Drosophila melanogaster: one gene and its partners. The protein of the gene in region 1 purifies or fractionates together with the protein of each later gene. This does not show direct contact. Each region holds a gene or a part of one and is shown in the gene's direction. Other genes may lie near its edges.

The links.
Region 2: the proteins of CycC (region 1) and IntS1 purify together in Drosophila melanogaster (affinity purification with western blotting, with the first as the bait; one study listed by BioGRID). This does not show direct contact.
Region 3: the proteins of CycC (region 1) and IntS9 purify together in Drosophila melanogaster (affinity purification with western blotting, with the first as the bait; one study listed by BioGRID). This does not show direct contact.

Annotation. Positions count from the first base shown.
Region 1 is NT_033777.3:14,888,447-14,892,009, reverse strand, and holds CycC (cyclin C), read left to right. Parts: upstream 1-1,804; 5' UTR 1,805-1,952; coding exon 1,953-2,540; intron 2,541-2,600; coding exon 2,601-2,816; 3' UTR 2,817-3,006; downstream 3,007-3,563. Other genes in the region: UQCR-C1 (Ubiquinol-cytochrome c reductase core protein 1), read right to left, coding at 1-59, 134-225, 287-657, 720-1,048, 1,108-1,314, 1,584-1,652; CG33332 (uncharacterized protein), read right to left, coding at 3,051-3,215, 3,276-3,563. UniProt on the Drosophila melanogaster protein: Component of the Mediator complex, a coactivator involved in regulated gene transcription of nearly all RNA polymerase II-dependent genes.
Region 2 is NT_033778.4:24,036,188-24,043,945, forward strand, and holds the start of IntS1 (integrator 1), read left to right. Parts: upstream 1-1,755; 5' UTR 1,756-1,874; coding exon 1,875-3,192; intron 3,193-3,253; coding exon 3,254-4,233; intron 4,234-4,287; coding exon 4,288-7,758. Other genes in the region: MAN1, read left to right, coding at 1-463; Not11 (CCR4-NOT transcription complex subunit 11), read right to left, coding at 596-953, 1,014-1,153, 1,208-1,453. UniProt on the Drosophila melanogaster protein: Component of the integrator complex, a multiprotein complex that terminates RNA polymerase II (Pol II) transcription in the promoter-proximal region of genes.
Region 3 is NT_037436.4:16,102,800-16,107,408, reverse strand, and holds IntS9 (integrator 9), read left to right. Parts: upstream 1-1,781; 5' UTR 1,782-1,845; coding exon 1,846-1,854; intron 1,855-1,915; coding exon 1,916-3,073; intron 3,074-3,130; coding exon 3,131-3,928; 3' UTR 3,929-3,975; downstream 3,976-4,609. Other genes in the region: Zn72D (Zinc-finger protein at 72D), read left to right, coding at 1-455; CG43295 (uncharacterized protein), read right to left, coding at 981-1,433, 1,507-1,557; IleRS-m (Isoleucyl-tRNA synthetase, mitochondrial), read right to left, coding at 3,976-4,609. UniProt on the Drosophila melanogaster protein: Component of the integrator complex, a multiprotein complex that terminates RNA polymerase II (Pol II) transcription in the promoter-proximal region of genes.

The DNA of each region.
Region 1 (3,563 bases):
GCCTCGGTAACCATGGTGCACAGACGCATCCACTCGGTCTGCACGTTGAAGAGCATATCCTGGGGAAGAGGTTTGTTTACGTAAAATTTGCTTTCTCTCGAGAGTTTTCTGTTGAATCATTAATTCTTCTTACCTCGCACTGCAGAGGGTCGCACACGAAGTAAATGCCCCAGAGTCCGGTGTCCTTGTAGCATGTGTTGAACGATTGGAAGCTGTGGCAAAGGTCTGTAGGGCAATAATAGTTAATAATCTCCATATCCTGGTCGTCTTACTGATGTACACTTACTGTCCTCAGCGCTGGCACGGGCCAGGTTGGAGGCGTTGTTGGCGCCACCGCCTTGGGAACGATCCCAAGCACCCACCAAGGTGTTGGCCACCATCAGGGGGATGTTGTCCTGGTCGGTCCAGCCGCAGCCTTCGACGGCGATGGCGACATGGGCCAGGGGCAGGGAATCGTCGCGCACACGCACCTCGGAGCCGGTGAAGCGGCAGGGAGTCACCTCCGCGGGCAGCACACTGGCCTCCAGGCCACCCAAGCTGCTGCAGGCAAGCTTGACCAGATCATCGTGCTTGACGCCGCCAGCAGCGGCCAGAACGATGCGCGAAGCCTTGTAGTGGGTCTGGATGTAGTCGGTCAGATCGGCCTTGCCAATGGACCTAAATAAATGAAGATTTTAATTAGAGACAGAGCATTTGTTATAAGAGCTGAATATACGTACTGAATGTTCTTGGTGGGTCCCAGGATGGTCTGGCCCAGAGGAGTGCCCTGATAGGCGGTGGCGTGAAGGTGATCGAAGACCACCTCCTGCAGGTTGCTCTCCACCTCCTGCATCTCGCGCAGAATCACCGAACGCTCGCGGGCGATCTCAGCCTCACCCAGCTTGGAGTTCTGGATGATGTCGGCCAGGATCTCGACGGCTTTGGGCACATCCTTGGACAAACACTTGGCGTAGAAGACGGTCTGCTCCCTGGAAGTGTAGGCGTTCAAGTGGGCGCCCAGGTTCTCAACCTCCAGCTCCAAATCCGTTTGCGAGCGCTTGGCGGTACCCTAAAAAGTGGCAGAAACGCATATTATACGCATTTAAAGCATCAAGCTAGTGAGCCAACCTTGAAGGCCATGTGCTCCAGGAAGTGGGCCACTCCGTTGTTCTTCTCGTTCTCGGAGCGCGACCCAGCATCGATCCACAGTCCCACGGTGGCGGTAGAGGCACCGGAATCCTCGCTAGCCACGCGGAGACCGTTGTCCAGCTTGGTCACCTGGGTGGCGGGTATGTTCAGCAGAGTCTTCTGTAGGGTGGCAGCCGACTTGTATCGCTGTAAGTTCGGGAAAATTGGGAAAACTATAGCCCAGAGTTAAGTAAAACACGAACATAACCTCAAAGTGCTTGTAGTGGGTTTTCCAAACAGTTTTCCCAAATATTTGTTTGAAAAACTGGATGGCTCTTGAATAACTGACCAACAAGAGGTTGTTTATCCCTTTTCTCACAAGAATAAACCACAATTGCAACCAAAAACACAATCATTTACAATTACGTAATTTAAATCCTCGGAAGCGTAATCATTGGATGGCTGTCTGGACTTACTTTGATCATGTCAACGCCCCGCATGAAGGAGCGCATATTCTGCGTCACGCCAAGAACTCGCAACGCCATCGTTTTATTAATTCGTTCAATAGCCTATTACTAAAAAATATTTAAGACTTTTTCGTCTGTGGCCGCGGCGCTGATGAAAAATTCACACACACACACCAATGTACTGCGCTGCGCAAAGTTGGCTGCGGCCAGTCAGCTGTTCGTGGAAAATAGCCCTGGTGTGCACACACTGGCTGAAACGGCAACACAATTTTTTCGTTTTTCCTGGTTTTCCGGCTTGCTATTGAAATAAACACCTAATTTGGATAGCTAACACGAAAATATTGGCCGACCTAATCAGCTAGGCCTACTAGTTACGAAATGGCGGGCAATTTTTGGCAGAGTTCGCACTCGCAGCAGTGGATTTTGGACAAACCCGATCTGCTCCGGGAGCGTCAGCACGATTTGTTGGCCCTTAACGAGGATGAATACCAAAAGGTGTTTATTTTCTTCGCAAATGTGATCCAGGTGCTCGGCGAGCAGCTAAAGCTGAGGCAACAGGTCATCGCCACGGCGACGGTTTACTTCAAGAGATTCTATGCGAGGAACTCCCTGAAGAACATCGATCCTCTGCTGCTGGCGCCCACTTGCATCTTGCTGGCCTCGAAGGTGGAGGAGTTCGGTGTCATTTCCAATTCACGACTGATCTCGATCTGCCAGTCGGCCATTAAGACAAAGTTCAGCTATGCGTACGCTCAGGAGTTTCCCTACCGCACCAATCACATCCTGGAGTGCGAGTTTTACCTGCTGGAGAACCTGGATTGCTGCTTGATTGTCTACCAGCCGTACAGACCGCTGCTGCAGCTGGTTCAGGACATGGGCCAGGAGGACCAGTTGCTCACCCTGAGCTGGCGTATCGTAAACGATTCCCTGCGCACCGATGTCTGCCTGCTCTATCCTCCTTACCAGGTTTGTGATCCTGATAATTTCTACAGCTTCCTCACATTTGAAGAACCTATTTTTTTCTAGATCGCTATAGCCTGCCTTCAAATCGCCTGCGTCATCCTGCAAAAGGACGCCACGAAGCAGTGGTTCGCAGAATTGAATGTTGATTTAGACAAGGTCCAGGAGATCGTGCGCGCCATTGTAAATCTGTACGAGTTGTGGAAGGACTGGAAGGAAAAGGACGAGATTCAGATGCTGCTGTCCAAGATTCCGAAACCGAAACCACCGCCTCAGCGTTAGAAGAGCTTCATAATCATTCATCATTAGCTGGTATTGCCCAATTGTGTGTTTGTACTCATATTACCAATGTATTTATGCCAATTAAACGAAAGTTTAAGCTAGGTGACTAAGCAATCAAAAATGTCATTTACAAATTATTTTGCCTTTATAATAATTATTTCTAAATTAAATTACATAATTGCTTAAGATTAACATGCGGTACGGATCGTCTGGATTTTTTATGGTTCATTTAACCTACAGATACTTAGCTTGACCCCTGGAGAACTTGGTGTTCAATATCTTGGCCTTGTCTACAATCTGCTTGGTCTGATTCTTGTCGATCTTGTTAAGTTTCAAGTCCACATCCCTACTAAAAGGTCTTCGTTCTGGCTTGGAACCCGATGCAGCCAGTTCTTTTTCCTTAAATTTATAACAATATTATATCCATATTATGTTTTTAAGAAATATTTTTCCTCGTACCTTTTCTCTCTGCTCTTTCCTAAGCTTTTTTTGATGTAGCTCCACTAGGGACTCCTCTCGCTTGTGCTTCTTTTTGTGCCTCTTGGCCATGCTCTCCTGCTCGTCATCCCGCTGCTGTTCGTACTTGACCTGTGCCATTTGCTCGAGTTCCTTCGAACTGAGCGACTTTGGGCCCGATGCAGCAGCATCCGCTTCACTCTGCGGGGTCTTCGTCCAGGATGATCGATCGCTAAAGTCGGGTCGCTCTTTTCCCTGATAGAAAGTGCGCTTCATATTGCTCAGGGCGGC
Region 2 (7,758 bases), on another chromosome or scaffold:
GAATCGTGACGGGAAGGCAATGCGCACAATTGCGTGGAACAGGAACGTTGACAAAAAGGATGTGGGGCTTGTTAAGAAGTGGCAGAGTCCCGCCTTCGATAACTCGAACAAGATTGCCAACCCGCCGACTCCCTGCCTGAAGATTAGGCACATGTTCGACTCCTCAGAGGTGGATCAGGCCAATCTGAAGCAGTCCATCGTGGAGTCGATCATCGAGAAGGTCGGCACGCGCTGCAAGATCTGCGATGTCCAGCTGGACGTGCAGTCCTGCTGCGTGTACATCCGCTGCGCCAGCGAGGAGGACGCCGGCACGATTCACAAAGAGATCAACGGCTGGTGGTTCGACAAGCGCCTGATTTCGATTAAATTCTTAAGACTGGAACGCTACCTGAGCCGTTTCCCCAAGCCCTCGGCCGAGCCACTTTACTTTCACACCAACGAGGCAGCCAACACTCACTCATAAAACACACAACTCTACATTAGATACTTAAGTTATTAAATGCGAATTTGTTTTACATGTACAGCTGGAGTTGTCGTATTTAATCGATTTATTATGAACTAGACTTTAAAACTTAAAATCTGCTAAACACTACCACTACTTAGCTAGGGAGTTGGACGACAGAGCGCTTTCCCCAGTTTCCAAGTGTTTGATAAGCCGGTACAGGGTAGCAGCCTCCTTGATTTTGCTGAAACCCACGCAGAAGGCTTCGATTTCAATGAATAGTTCCTGGAAAATAACAATAGAATAGTCACTAAGCACAGTCGAGGAAATGGTAGTAGCGCATACCCTAACGTTCACAATCTTGTTCCTAATCAAGGACTGCAGAAATACGCAAACGAGTCGCACCAGGCGAGACTGCATGTACTTGTCCTTGACTGTTTCGCAAGTCGAGATGCAATTGCTGATGTATAGGTGAATAAACTCAGTGGGCAAAGGTCCGGAGGTGGTTAGTCTGGAATGAGAGCTCGAGCATGTTAAAGAAGCCTTCAATACTCGATGTTTGGATTCCTACCGGTTGACCACCTCCATGGAGTGAAGTGTTATGTCCATGTTGACCAACACGTTGAAGTATTCAGTTATGTCGGAGGTCGTCATCAGTCTTAGCAAGATCTCAATGGAGATGAGAGGATTGCTTTCCACGAGCAGAGGTAGCTGAGATGGAAGCAATGGATAAGACATATATCTAGCAATGTTTTCGGTTCTTACCTTGTCCGGGGTCAGTCCATATTGGCGCGCAATGTCCGTGTTCTGCTTCAGCAGGTCGTCGAAGAGGATGTGCTGGTTCTGGAGGCTGAGTGGCTGGAGAAAAGCCTGCTCGATGAGGTGCTTTATGTTGGGGGTAATGTAGTTGGACTTGTCGTAGATGATCTCCACCTTGTCGCTGTTCGACTGGTTTATCCAGAGCAGCTCGTCCTCGAAGTCCATTAGGGGCGGGGCGATGGACAGAAACATGCTGGTGCGCTGATTTTAATTTACAATTATTATTATTTTCCTTGCAATTTTGTAAACAATTTTAGTGTGACCGCGTTGAGGGGTTCTTAAGAACAATCTGCACATGAGAGTGGGCCATCTGAAAAATGATGTATGCAAATGTGCGCCTAAGGGTGTTAGGTTACACACTTGTCAAAAAATAAAAATTAAAATATGAAAACAGTTCAATATTTATATTAAAGCCTGTTTCAAAGCTTCCATCGTTCCGAATCAGAGCAGTTGCACAGACTTCTGCATGCGTTAGCCATTGAGCCCTAGCGCCTGCACTCTGGTCACACTGCAACTGTTGCACGGCTGCAAATCGCAAAGCAAAATAAAATGCACCGCGCTTGAATTATCCATTTTATGGACAGAAAAAACCTTCACACACGAACAGAGAAAAATGGATCGCGGGAAAGGAAGCGGCTCCAACCGATCGCAGAAGAAGGTTCCGCTGGGCGGAGAACTCTTTGCGCTCGGCAAGAGCGTACGCGATGACTCCAAGTCGAAGATCCTGCCCATTAAGGGCATGTCGTCGTCGGACCGCAAGCGTGAAGCCTCCACCGCACTGGCCAGCTCGAGCAAGCGGTTCCGCGGCAACCTGAAGGACGCGGGCGCCCCGGACATGTCCTCCGGTAGTAGTCAGTGCGAGACGTGGGAGCAATTCGCCGTTGACTGCGATCTGGATACCGTGGTCGAGACCATATACGCGGCTTTGGAGCAGAACGACAGCGAAACTGTGGGCCGGCTTGTATGCGGCGTTATAAAGCAGACAACGACGAGCTCCTCGCGCTCCAAGGTGGACAACATTGCCCTTCTGGCCCTGATCTACGTGGCCAAGGTACAGCCGAGTATATTCTGCACAGACATAGTGGCCTGCGCGCTGCTTTCCTTCCTGCGGCGGGAGGCCAACGTGAAAATGAGGTACAACACCAACCTGCACATTCTGTTCGCCAATCTGCTGACCCGGGGCTTCATGGAGATTTCCCAGTGGCCGGAGGTGCTGCTCCGCATTTACATAGACGATGCGGTTAACGAGCGCTACTGGGCGGACAATGAACTGTGTGCCCCGCTCGTGAAGAACATATGCGCAGCCTTTAAAACCCGCACGCCCCACATCAGTCTCCTCCGCTGGGATGTGAGCTCGTCCCTGCCTTCTGGTCAAGCACACAGAGACAGCATGACTGTGGACGACGATTCCGGGGACAATTCCACACAGAGCTTGGATGCAAGTCCCTTAAATACCGAATCGGAACCAATTCCCGACGCTATGTGCACCACTAAATCAAGATTCAGCGATGCTGTGGTGCAGAAGCATGTCAGCGATGCCATTCGCGATCAGCTCAACAAGCGACAGCAGCAGGATAACTACACCAGAAACTTCCTAAAGTTCCTGTGCACCACTTCTGGCATTGCAGAGGTACGATGTCTGAGCATTTCCCGCCTGGAGCTGTGGATCCACAACGGAAAACTGGTCAAGTTCGCCCAGCAATTGCTCTCGTACATCTGCTTCAACATCAAGGGACGCAACACACAGGACAACGAAGTGCTCTTGGTGCTGGTGAAGATGCGGCTCAAGACGAAGCCCCTAATAAACCACTACATGTCCTGCTTGAAGGAGATGATTTTTCTGCAGCCGGAAATCTTGAGTACCGTAATGAAACTGGTCGTGCAAAATGAGCTATCCAACACCAGGAATCCAAACAATATGGGGATGCTGGGTAAGAGAAACAAATTTTTTCTTAAATTAAAATCATAATTCTTAATTTGAAACTTTTCCAGCCACAATGTTTCAAACATCTGCTGATCAATCAGCTGCCACTCTGGCTGAGATTTACCAGGAATTCTTGCTTCAGCGGGACGATTGCCTGCGCACCCTGCGCGTTTTCTTACGGGAGCTTGTGCGGATGCTGCGCTTCGATGTGAACCTGGTCAAGTTTTGCAAGACGTTTCTCAGTGAGCGGGAGGATCTGACTCCTCAAATCGAAATGTTCGAGTTTAAGGAGCGAATTTTCAACTCCATGGTGGACATTGTGTGTCTCTGCATGTTTCTGTCGGCCACGCCACAAGCTAGGGAAGCCAGTTTGTCCCTGAAAACCAATCGGGACACCAAAAACAACCATGCTCTGCTCAAGCTGTACAATCAGATGTCACAGATTCAGTTGGACACAGTGTCCTGGATGTACGAAACAGTACCCACGCTCTTCAAGATTCCGGCTGCGGAGTACCACCAGGCGCTGCACAAGCTGCTACTGCTGGACAGTCCGGAGCAGTATTCGCGCTGCGATCAGTGGCCGTCAGAGCCGGAGCGAGGAGCAATCCTGCGGATTATCTCTGAGACGCCGATTCACGAGGAGACCCTGCTGCGAATTATATTGATTGGCATCACCAAGGATATTCCTTTCTCTATCGCAAACACCTTTGATGTCCTGCTGCTGGTCATAAAGCGAGTTTCCGGGATGAAGGCTACCAATATTCCGGCGGTGCAGGCCAACAAATTCGACATCATCGACTTCCTGTTCAGCATGTCAGAGTACCATCATCCGGAGAACATTCGCTTGCCTGCGGAGTACGAGCCACCAAAGCTGGCCATCATCGCCTTCTACTGGAAGGCGTGGCTCATATTGCTTATGATATCCGCACACAACCCCTCCTCGTTTGGAGCCTTCTGCTGGGACCACTATCCCACAATGAAGATGATGATGGAGATTTGTATAACGAATCAATTCAACAATTCATCAGCCACCAAGGATGAGTTGCAGGTGCGTGCTTAATTATATAAACAAACTGGCGGTGCTACAATAAAGATTTTTCAGATAATAACCATGGAACGGGATCACATTCTGCAGTTCGAGACGTACTTGGCTGCCCAAACATCGCCGCATGCTGTTATCACTGAGGAAACTGCGATTCTAATCACTCAGCTCATGCTGATGGACCCGATGGGCACTCCGCGCAAAGTGCCCTCCATGGTCCTAGATCAGCTAAAGTTCCTTAATCAGACCTACAAGCTTGGCCACTTATTCTGCCGCTGCCGCAAGCCGGACTTGCTGCTGGACATAATTCAAAGGCAGGGCACCACGCAATCCATGCCCTGGCTTTCCGACTTGGTTCAGAACAGCGAGGGCGATTTCAGCCATCTCCCAGTGCAATGCCTGTGCGAGTTTCTGCTGTTCAACGCGCACATCATCAACGAGGAGAATAGCCGCGATGCCGAGTTAGTCAATTTCCTGAGAAACCTGATATTTGACGGCAATCTTAGCCACCAAATCGTTTGCGAGCTTTTGGACTACATATTTAGACGCTTGTCGTCCACGGTGAAGCAATCGCGAGTCGCCGCTCTTTCGGGTCTGAAGATAATCTTCAGGCACTCTGGCGACTTTGAAAACGAATGGCTCCTGAAGTCGCTCCAGCAAATTCCGCACTTCTACGAGGTGAAACCCTTCATAATTCCCCAGCTGCGAGCTGCCTGCCAGGTGGAGAATTGCCCGGAACTGATTATGGCGTACATTCAGTTCATCACTGCGCACACGCTCAACGATCCGGTCAACGAAATGCTGGATCATGTCATCGATATGGCGCAGCTGATTGTAGAGCGCAGCACAATGTTTCAGCACATTATCATTTCGCAGGAGGACTACGACTATGTGCCCGACGAGAACCGCATTCAGACTCTGAAGTGTCTTTTCGTCATGTTCAACAACTATATAATTAAGCTAAGGGAATACCACGAACCGTACGAGTGGACCGAGTATCCGGACCTGCTGATGGTTCAGTTTGACGATGGAGTACAGCTACCGCTCCACATAAACATCATTCACGCCTTCATTATCCTGCTCACCTATTCCAACAGCAACATGCCCGAATCGATACCCATTTTGGACTATTGGTTTCCGCCCGGACGACCAGCGCCCGTCGCCTTTCTGCCCAGCATGCCGCAGGAGCAGGTGCAACTGCTGCCCGACTGGCTGAAGCTGAAGATGATCCGCTCATCGGTGGACAGACTAATTGAGGCAGCTCTCAACGATCTAACGCCGGATCAGATCGTGCTCTTTGTGCAAAACTTTGGCACGCCGGTCAACTCGATGTCCAAGCTGCTGGCAATGCTGGACACCGCTGTACTGGAGCAGTTTGATCTGGTGAAGAATGCCATTCTGAACAAGGCCTATCTGGCCCAGCTAATCGAGATTCAGCAGGCGCGGGGTGCTAAGAATGGGCACTACACCGTACAGGCCTTGGATCTGCATTCCCACTCGCAGACTGTGCCAGATCTGCCCAAGATCAGTGTGGTTATTCAGGAGGCCGTTGAAATTGATGATTACGATTCTTCAGACTCGGATGATAGACCCACTAACTTCCTGGCCACCAAGGAGGTAGCCCAAACCATTCTCACGCAGCCCGACCAGTTGACTGAGTCGCGAAGTGACTGCCGATCCTTGATTCAAAAACTGTTGGACATGCTAGCAAGCCCGAACAGCAATAGAGCGGATGTGGTTAACGCCATAACAGAGGTGCTAGCCGTGGGTTGCAGTGTCACGATGAGCCGTCACGCCTGCACATTTTTAAGGACTTTCTTCAGCTGCATGCTGCACAGCGACAAGTATCACATACTGGAGAACGCTCTCCAAAAGAACTTAAGTATGTTTAAGCACACATTCGCCGACTCCAGTCTGCTGCAGAAATCCGAACTCTATCATGAGAGCTTGGTGTTCATGCTGAGAAACTCTCGCGAGATTTATGCGCAGCAGTTTAAGGCGAATACCGCCTTGGTGGCACGAAAACGGATCGTCCGGGCGATCGTCCAAAGCTTCGATCAGACCAAGGACAGCAAGACCGTCGCCAAGTCCAAGAGCGACCAGCTCTTCCACAACGGGCTCTTCATCGACTGGCTGTCCGAAATGGATCCCGAGATAGTTTCCACTCAGCTAATGAAGGAGCGCTTTCTGTTCTCAAAGTCCTGCAGCGAGTTTAGGTTCTATCTGTTGTCCCTGATCAACCACCAAACCAACTGGGACACGATCGAAAGGATTGCCGAGTACCTGTTCAAGAATTTCCATGAAGACTACGACTACGCCACCGTCCTCAACTACTTCGAGGCACTGACCACCAATCCGAAGCTGTGGAAGGGACGCGACAAGTACATGTCGAAGAACGTACGGCCGGATGCCTTCTTCATGCTGAGGACTTCTGAACTGGAGCCGTTCTCCCACTTCATCCTTCACGAAGGGCTTTCCGAGGTCAAGCTGGACAGCAAAAACTATGATTTCAAGCTCTGCTCGCGAATGAACCTACTGTTTAAGCTCACAGAGAAGCGACGAGACCTCATGGTCAAGGTAATGGAGCACGTGGAGAAAAGTTCGGTGTCCGACTACTTGAAACTGCAGGTCCTCCAGCAGATGTACATCATGTATCCGCGCATCAAGTTTCTGAAACCGGGCAAAACCGGCGAGCAGGCGTACAAATTGCAGAATCTGAAGGGCTGCCAGGCGGACAAGGTGTCCAACAATCTGATCACCTGCTTGGGCAGTCTGGTGGGCAAAAAGGACTTTGAAACCCTGTCCACGGACACCGAGCTGCTCCTTCGCAAGCTGGCTGCCTCCCACCCGCTTCTCTTCCTTCGCCAGCTGGGCGTGCTGTCGTCCATTATGCAAGGTCGGGCCCAGCTCAGCATGAAGGCCCTGCGCGAGGAGCACCACTTCCACCGATTTGTACAGATCCTGAGGACGCTGGAGCTGCTGCAACCAACCATCTTTGAGGAGGCGTACAAGAACGAGATCCAAAACACGCTGTCGTGCTACTTCAACTTCTTCAAGCACCACAGCAACGTAAAAGAGGCCTGCCAAATGCTGAACAAGTTTGTGCAGATGCTCCAAGCCTACATCAACTACAATCCCTCAAGTGCTCTGCTCTTCATCGAACAGTACGTGGGCATCCTGAAGGAACTTGCAGCCAAGTACACCTCACTAGGCAAACTGCAGGTTTTGGTCCAGGCCGTTGCCCTGCTGCAGCACAAGTCGCACTCGGCGACGGAATTGGACGACGAGGAAGTTAAGTACGAGTACGATCTGGATGAGCATTTCGATGTAAAGCCATCGGCCAGCAAGCCCGTGGTAACAGAGGATCCCATCGAAGTGAATCCGCAAACACCCATCGATCCAAGCAGCAGTAGGGGTCCCTTATCGGTTCTAACCTTGGGCTCGTACAGCCGGTCGAACTACACGGACATATCGCCGCACTTCCTCGATCTGGTCAAGATCATAAAGCAGTCCAACACGGAGGACGTGGTC
Region 3 (4,609 bases), on another chromosome or scaffold:
TGCCCCAATGGTCTTTGGAGCTCCTCGTAGAGAAGGTCATCTCGTCGGCTGGCTTTCCCATTTCGCCCGGTGACTGCATGCGTCGCATCATGGAGGCCTTATCGTCAGGCTTTCTAATCAACGGACCGGGCCTGCTGGATCCTTGCGAGAAGGACCCCACAGACGCTCTACTCGAGTTGACCAAACAGGAGCGCGAGGATCTCACTGTGTCCGCACAGCTCTTCCTGCGCTACATTGCCTTTCGACAGATTTACAAAGTGCTTGGCATGGAGCCATTGCCGGCGATGAAGTTTCCAATGCGTCCATGGCGTGTCAACCGCAAGCGACGTAGGTCATCGGGCAAGGCAGGTGGTGCACCCGGCACGGAGACCGAGTCCAATGACATCGATGAGACCGGCTCCGATGAGAAGGTGGCCAAGAAGGAGGGTGTCGGAGGCACTCCTGCCAGCACCTAAGCGGCGAGAATAGGTTATATACACGTAGTCGGCTACTAATATTACAATTTCTCTCAAGATAAAAGCGCGACCAGGCGTCACTTAACTATAACCAACTCTAATCTATACACGAGTATTCAAACCGATTGGGGCACAAGGAGCTAAGCATGTCCAACATGTTGCCCAATCGGCGATTAGTGAATCCCAAATTACCCCAACTTTAACTAACAATATTTAGTGGATCATAAAACTTGTATTTTTCTAGCATTAGTGCAAGGCAAGGCAATGTATTCAGTTTGAATGTGAACATTATGGCCCTCACACTCATATACACAAATACTAGAACGAAGCGGATTTTAATAAAACGTATTGAACAATTATAATTAAATTATTTTTTTAATAAAGATAAGCTTAATTCATTCACGTAACTGGAAATCTTAATTGGAGATAATCTAGCACTGATAATATTCTTCGCTTTATAAATAAGTTCTAATTGAAATTAATTCAAATATATATTTATATATATGATATATAATTTTTAAGGAATTACAAGAAGTCGTTCCACTTAGAGCAAATTTTCTTAGTAACTGTTGGCATATTTTCAGCGGAACGTTTAGAGGATCGTGGCCCTGTGTTCCTGGTTTTCTTAAAGTTCATAGAGATTTCGTCGGAAAGTTCATCGGTTTTCGTAGGTTTTGCTGCAGGCTTTTGAGTAGTTTCAATGGTATTATCCACATAGTTTGCCCATTTATTTGTTTTCTTCTGAGGTGTGGTGTTTTCCTCTTTTTCTTGGCAGTCTTTCTCCTCTTCGAGCTGTTGCTTTGCCGTGAGGAATAAGCCCGTGTTCAGACATTCCTCCTGCATTCCGCGCTCTAAGTTGAGATGCTGCACCTTAACCCGGCATTCCGCTGCCGATCCTCGAAAGAATTCCTTGAGCAAACTTTGCTTTTGGCGGCAAATTTTACACTGCCATGTGCTTGCCTTTTTCACGAAGTCCACCTTGTTTAAATTAGGTATATATATATAAGTAGTTATTGAGTTCTAAGATATATTTCAGTTTGTTTGCACTCACCTGGTACATTTTGCATTGAATGCATTGTACCACGCGAATTTGCTGGGACATTATTCAAATTTGCGAAAAACCAAATAAAGAGACCAGGGATGGAAACCAACAGCACTGCAACAAGTGGAGTGAAAAAAATGTGGTTGCACAAATGTTAAAGCGTGATGACTACAGTTTAACAAGTAGTAAAACATTTACCAAAATTTGTAATTAACTAATTTTGGTACCTATGGTTAATGATTTAGCCGGGTGCTGATTCCGGTTCATAAGTGAACCAAATCGTTCCCCATCCCTGGTCCAAATATAAACAAACTTGCATCGTCTAATCGGCACTGTCGGTTTAATAAAATGCGATTGGTAAGTCATCCTGAGAAGTAAATAACAACTTAATTAGCGGAAGTGACTATCCACTTTGCAGTATTGTCTCAGCGGGGACCTGGCCAAGCCATGTTATATCATTACCTTCAAGGGCCTGCGGATTATGCTGGACTGCGGTCTCACGGAGCAGACAGTCCTGAATTTCCTTCCGCTGCCCTTCGTTCAGTCACTGAAGTGGTCCAATCTGCCCAACTTCGTGCCCAGTCGGGATCATGATCCCCAAATGGATGGCGAGTTGAAGGACTGCTGTGGCCGGGTTTTCGTGGACTCGACGCCCGAGTTTAATCTACCCATGGACAAAATGCTGGATTTCAGCGAAGTGGATGTGATACTTATCTCGAATTATCTTAATATGCTGGCCTTGCCGTATATCACGGAAAACACGGGGTTCAAGGGCAAAGTCTATGCCACGGAGCCAACGCTGCAGATCGGCCGATTTTTCCTGGAGGAGCTGGTGGACTATATCGAAGTGTCGCCCAAGGCGTGCACCGCGCGCTTGTGGAAGGAGAAGCTTCATCTGCTGCCCAGTCCCTTGAGCGAAGCCTTTCGCGCCAAGAAGTGGCGCACTATCTTTAGTCTTAAGGATGTCCAAGGCAGTCTGTCCAAGGTGACCATCATGGGCTACGACGAGAAGCTGGACATCCTCGGAGCTTTTATCGCCACTCCTGTCAGCTCGGGCTACTGCCTGGGCTCGAGCAACTGGGTACTGAGCACGGCGCATGAAAAGATTTGCTATGTCAGTGGTTCCTCCACGTTGACCACACATCCGCGGCCCATCAATCAGTCGGCGCTGAAGCACGCCGATGTACTCATTATGACCGGACTGACGCAGGCGCCGACGGTAAATCCGGACACGAAGCTGGGCGAGCTCTGCATGAATGTGGCCTTGACGATCCGCAACAATGGGTCTGCCTTGATTCCCTGTTATCCTTCGGGCGTTGTCTATGACCTCTTTGAGTGCCTCACCCAGAATTTGGAAAACGCTGGCCTAAACAATGTTCCCATGTTCTTTATTTCCCCTGTGGCAGACAGCTCCTTGGCGTATTCTAATATCCTGGCCGAGTGGCTTAGTTCCGCCAAGCAGAACAAAGTGTATCTTCCAGACGATCCTTTCCCACATGCCTTTTACCTTCGCAACAACAAGCTGAAGCACTATAACCATGTGTTCTCCGAGGGCTTTAGCAAGGACTTCCGGCAGGTTTGTCTAACATAATTGTGAAAACTTCATACTACAAATTCTCTGTCTTCCTTACAGCCCTGCGTGGTCTTTTGTGGCCATCCTAGCTTGCGTTTCGGCGACGCTGTTCACTTTATCGAGATGTGGGGCAATAACCCTAACAACTCCATCATATTCACGGAGCCGGACTTTCCGTATCTGCAAGTACTGGCGCCCTTCCAACCACTGGCCATGAAGGCTTTTTACTGTCCCATCGACACCTCTTTGAATTATCAGCAGGCAAATAAGCTGATCAAGGAGTTGAAACCAAATGTGCTTGTCATCCCAGAGGCATACACAAAACCACATCCCTCGGCCCCAAATTTGTTCATTGAACAGCCGGATAAGAAGATAATAACGTTCAAGTGCGGCGAGATCATACGTCTGCCATTAAAACGGAAGCTGGATCGAATTTACATTACCTCGGAACTGGCCCAAAAGATATCGCCAAAGGAGGTGGCGGCCGGCGTGACCTTCTCCACATTGACAGGAGTTTTGCAAGTTAAGGACAAGGTCCACTGCATCCAGCCATGTGCGGATAGCGTTAAAGACGAGACCATCTCGAGCAACAGCGCTCCGACAAAGGAGGATGTGCTGAAGAACGTCAAATACGAGTATGGCAGCATTGATGTAGATGCAGTGATGAAGAAGCTGGCACAGGATGGCTTCTCCAACATCAAGCTAGACCGCACTGGCGGCGCTCTGACTCTGAACCTTGTCAATGAGGACACAGTCATTAAGTTCGAGGACAACGAGACGCATATTATCTGCGGCGGAAAGCCAACAACCCGGCTCAAGCTGCGAGACACCATCATGAAATGCTTACAGAGTTTTTAAAAACATAAATGTATTCCTTACACCTAAATAACAACACATCATTACGCTTAGTTCTTTGCCTCCATAACGTCAGAGCAACGTTGACACGTTTTCTGCTCATCCTCCAGACCATAGCGACGACAACGTGGGCACAGTGATATCTGAAGTTTACTTAAAGCAATATCCAAGTCGCTATTATGGGACTGTAAGAGCGTAACTGACCCCACTTGCAATATCTCGCATAATTCAGAATTGCTCACAGACTCTCCAAGAGGGCTGTGAAGTTCTCGCAGCAAATCCAGCTGGCTTCTTTCCTTTCCTTTGATGGTCACGGCCAAGTGCCAGGTGTTAACATCTCCAGCCTGTTGGTTAATAAGTCGTTTAACATCGAACGCTGCATTAATCACTTCAGTGGCTTTGGTGTCCTGCCATTCAGGATTAGTCTGAACAATTTGCTCGTGGAATGCACCACCTGTGGTGTCATAGTAGCTCCAGCTTTCCTCCACCAGGAAGGGAACAATGGGCCATAAGCTCTTGCAGAGTTGTTGATAGCAGTGGGTAAGAGTTTGACGAATGGCCAGTAGCTCGTGATCATCACCACAATAAAGACGATCCTTGATGAGATGCACATAGACGGCGGACACCTGATTTGCAATGAAGTTTTGGACACAGGCGACAACACGATTGTACTCATAAGCTTGG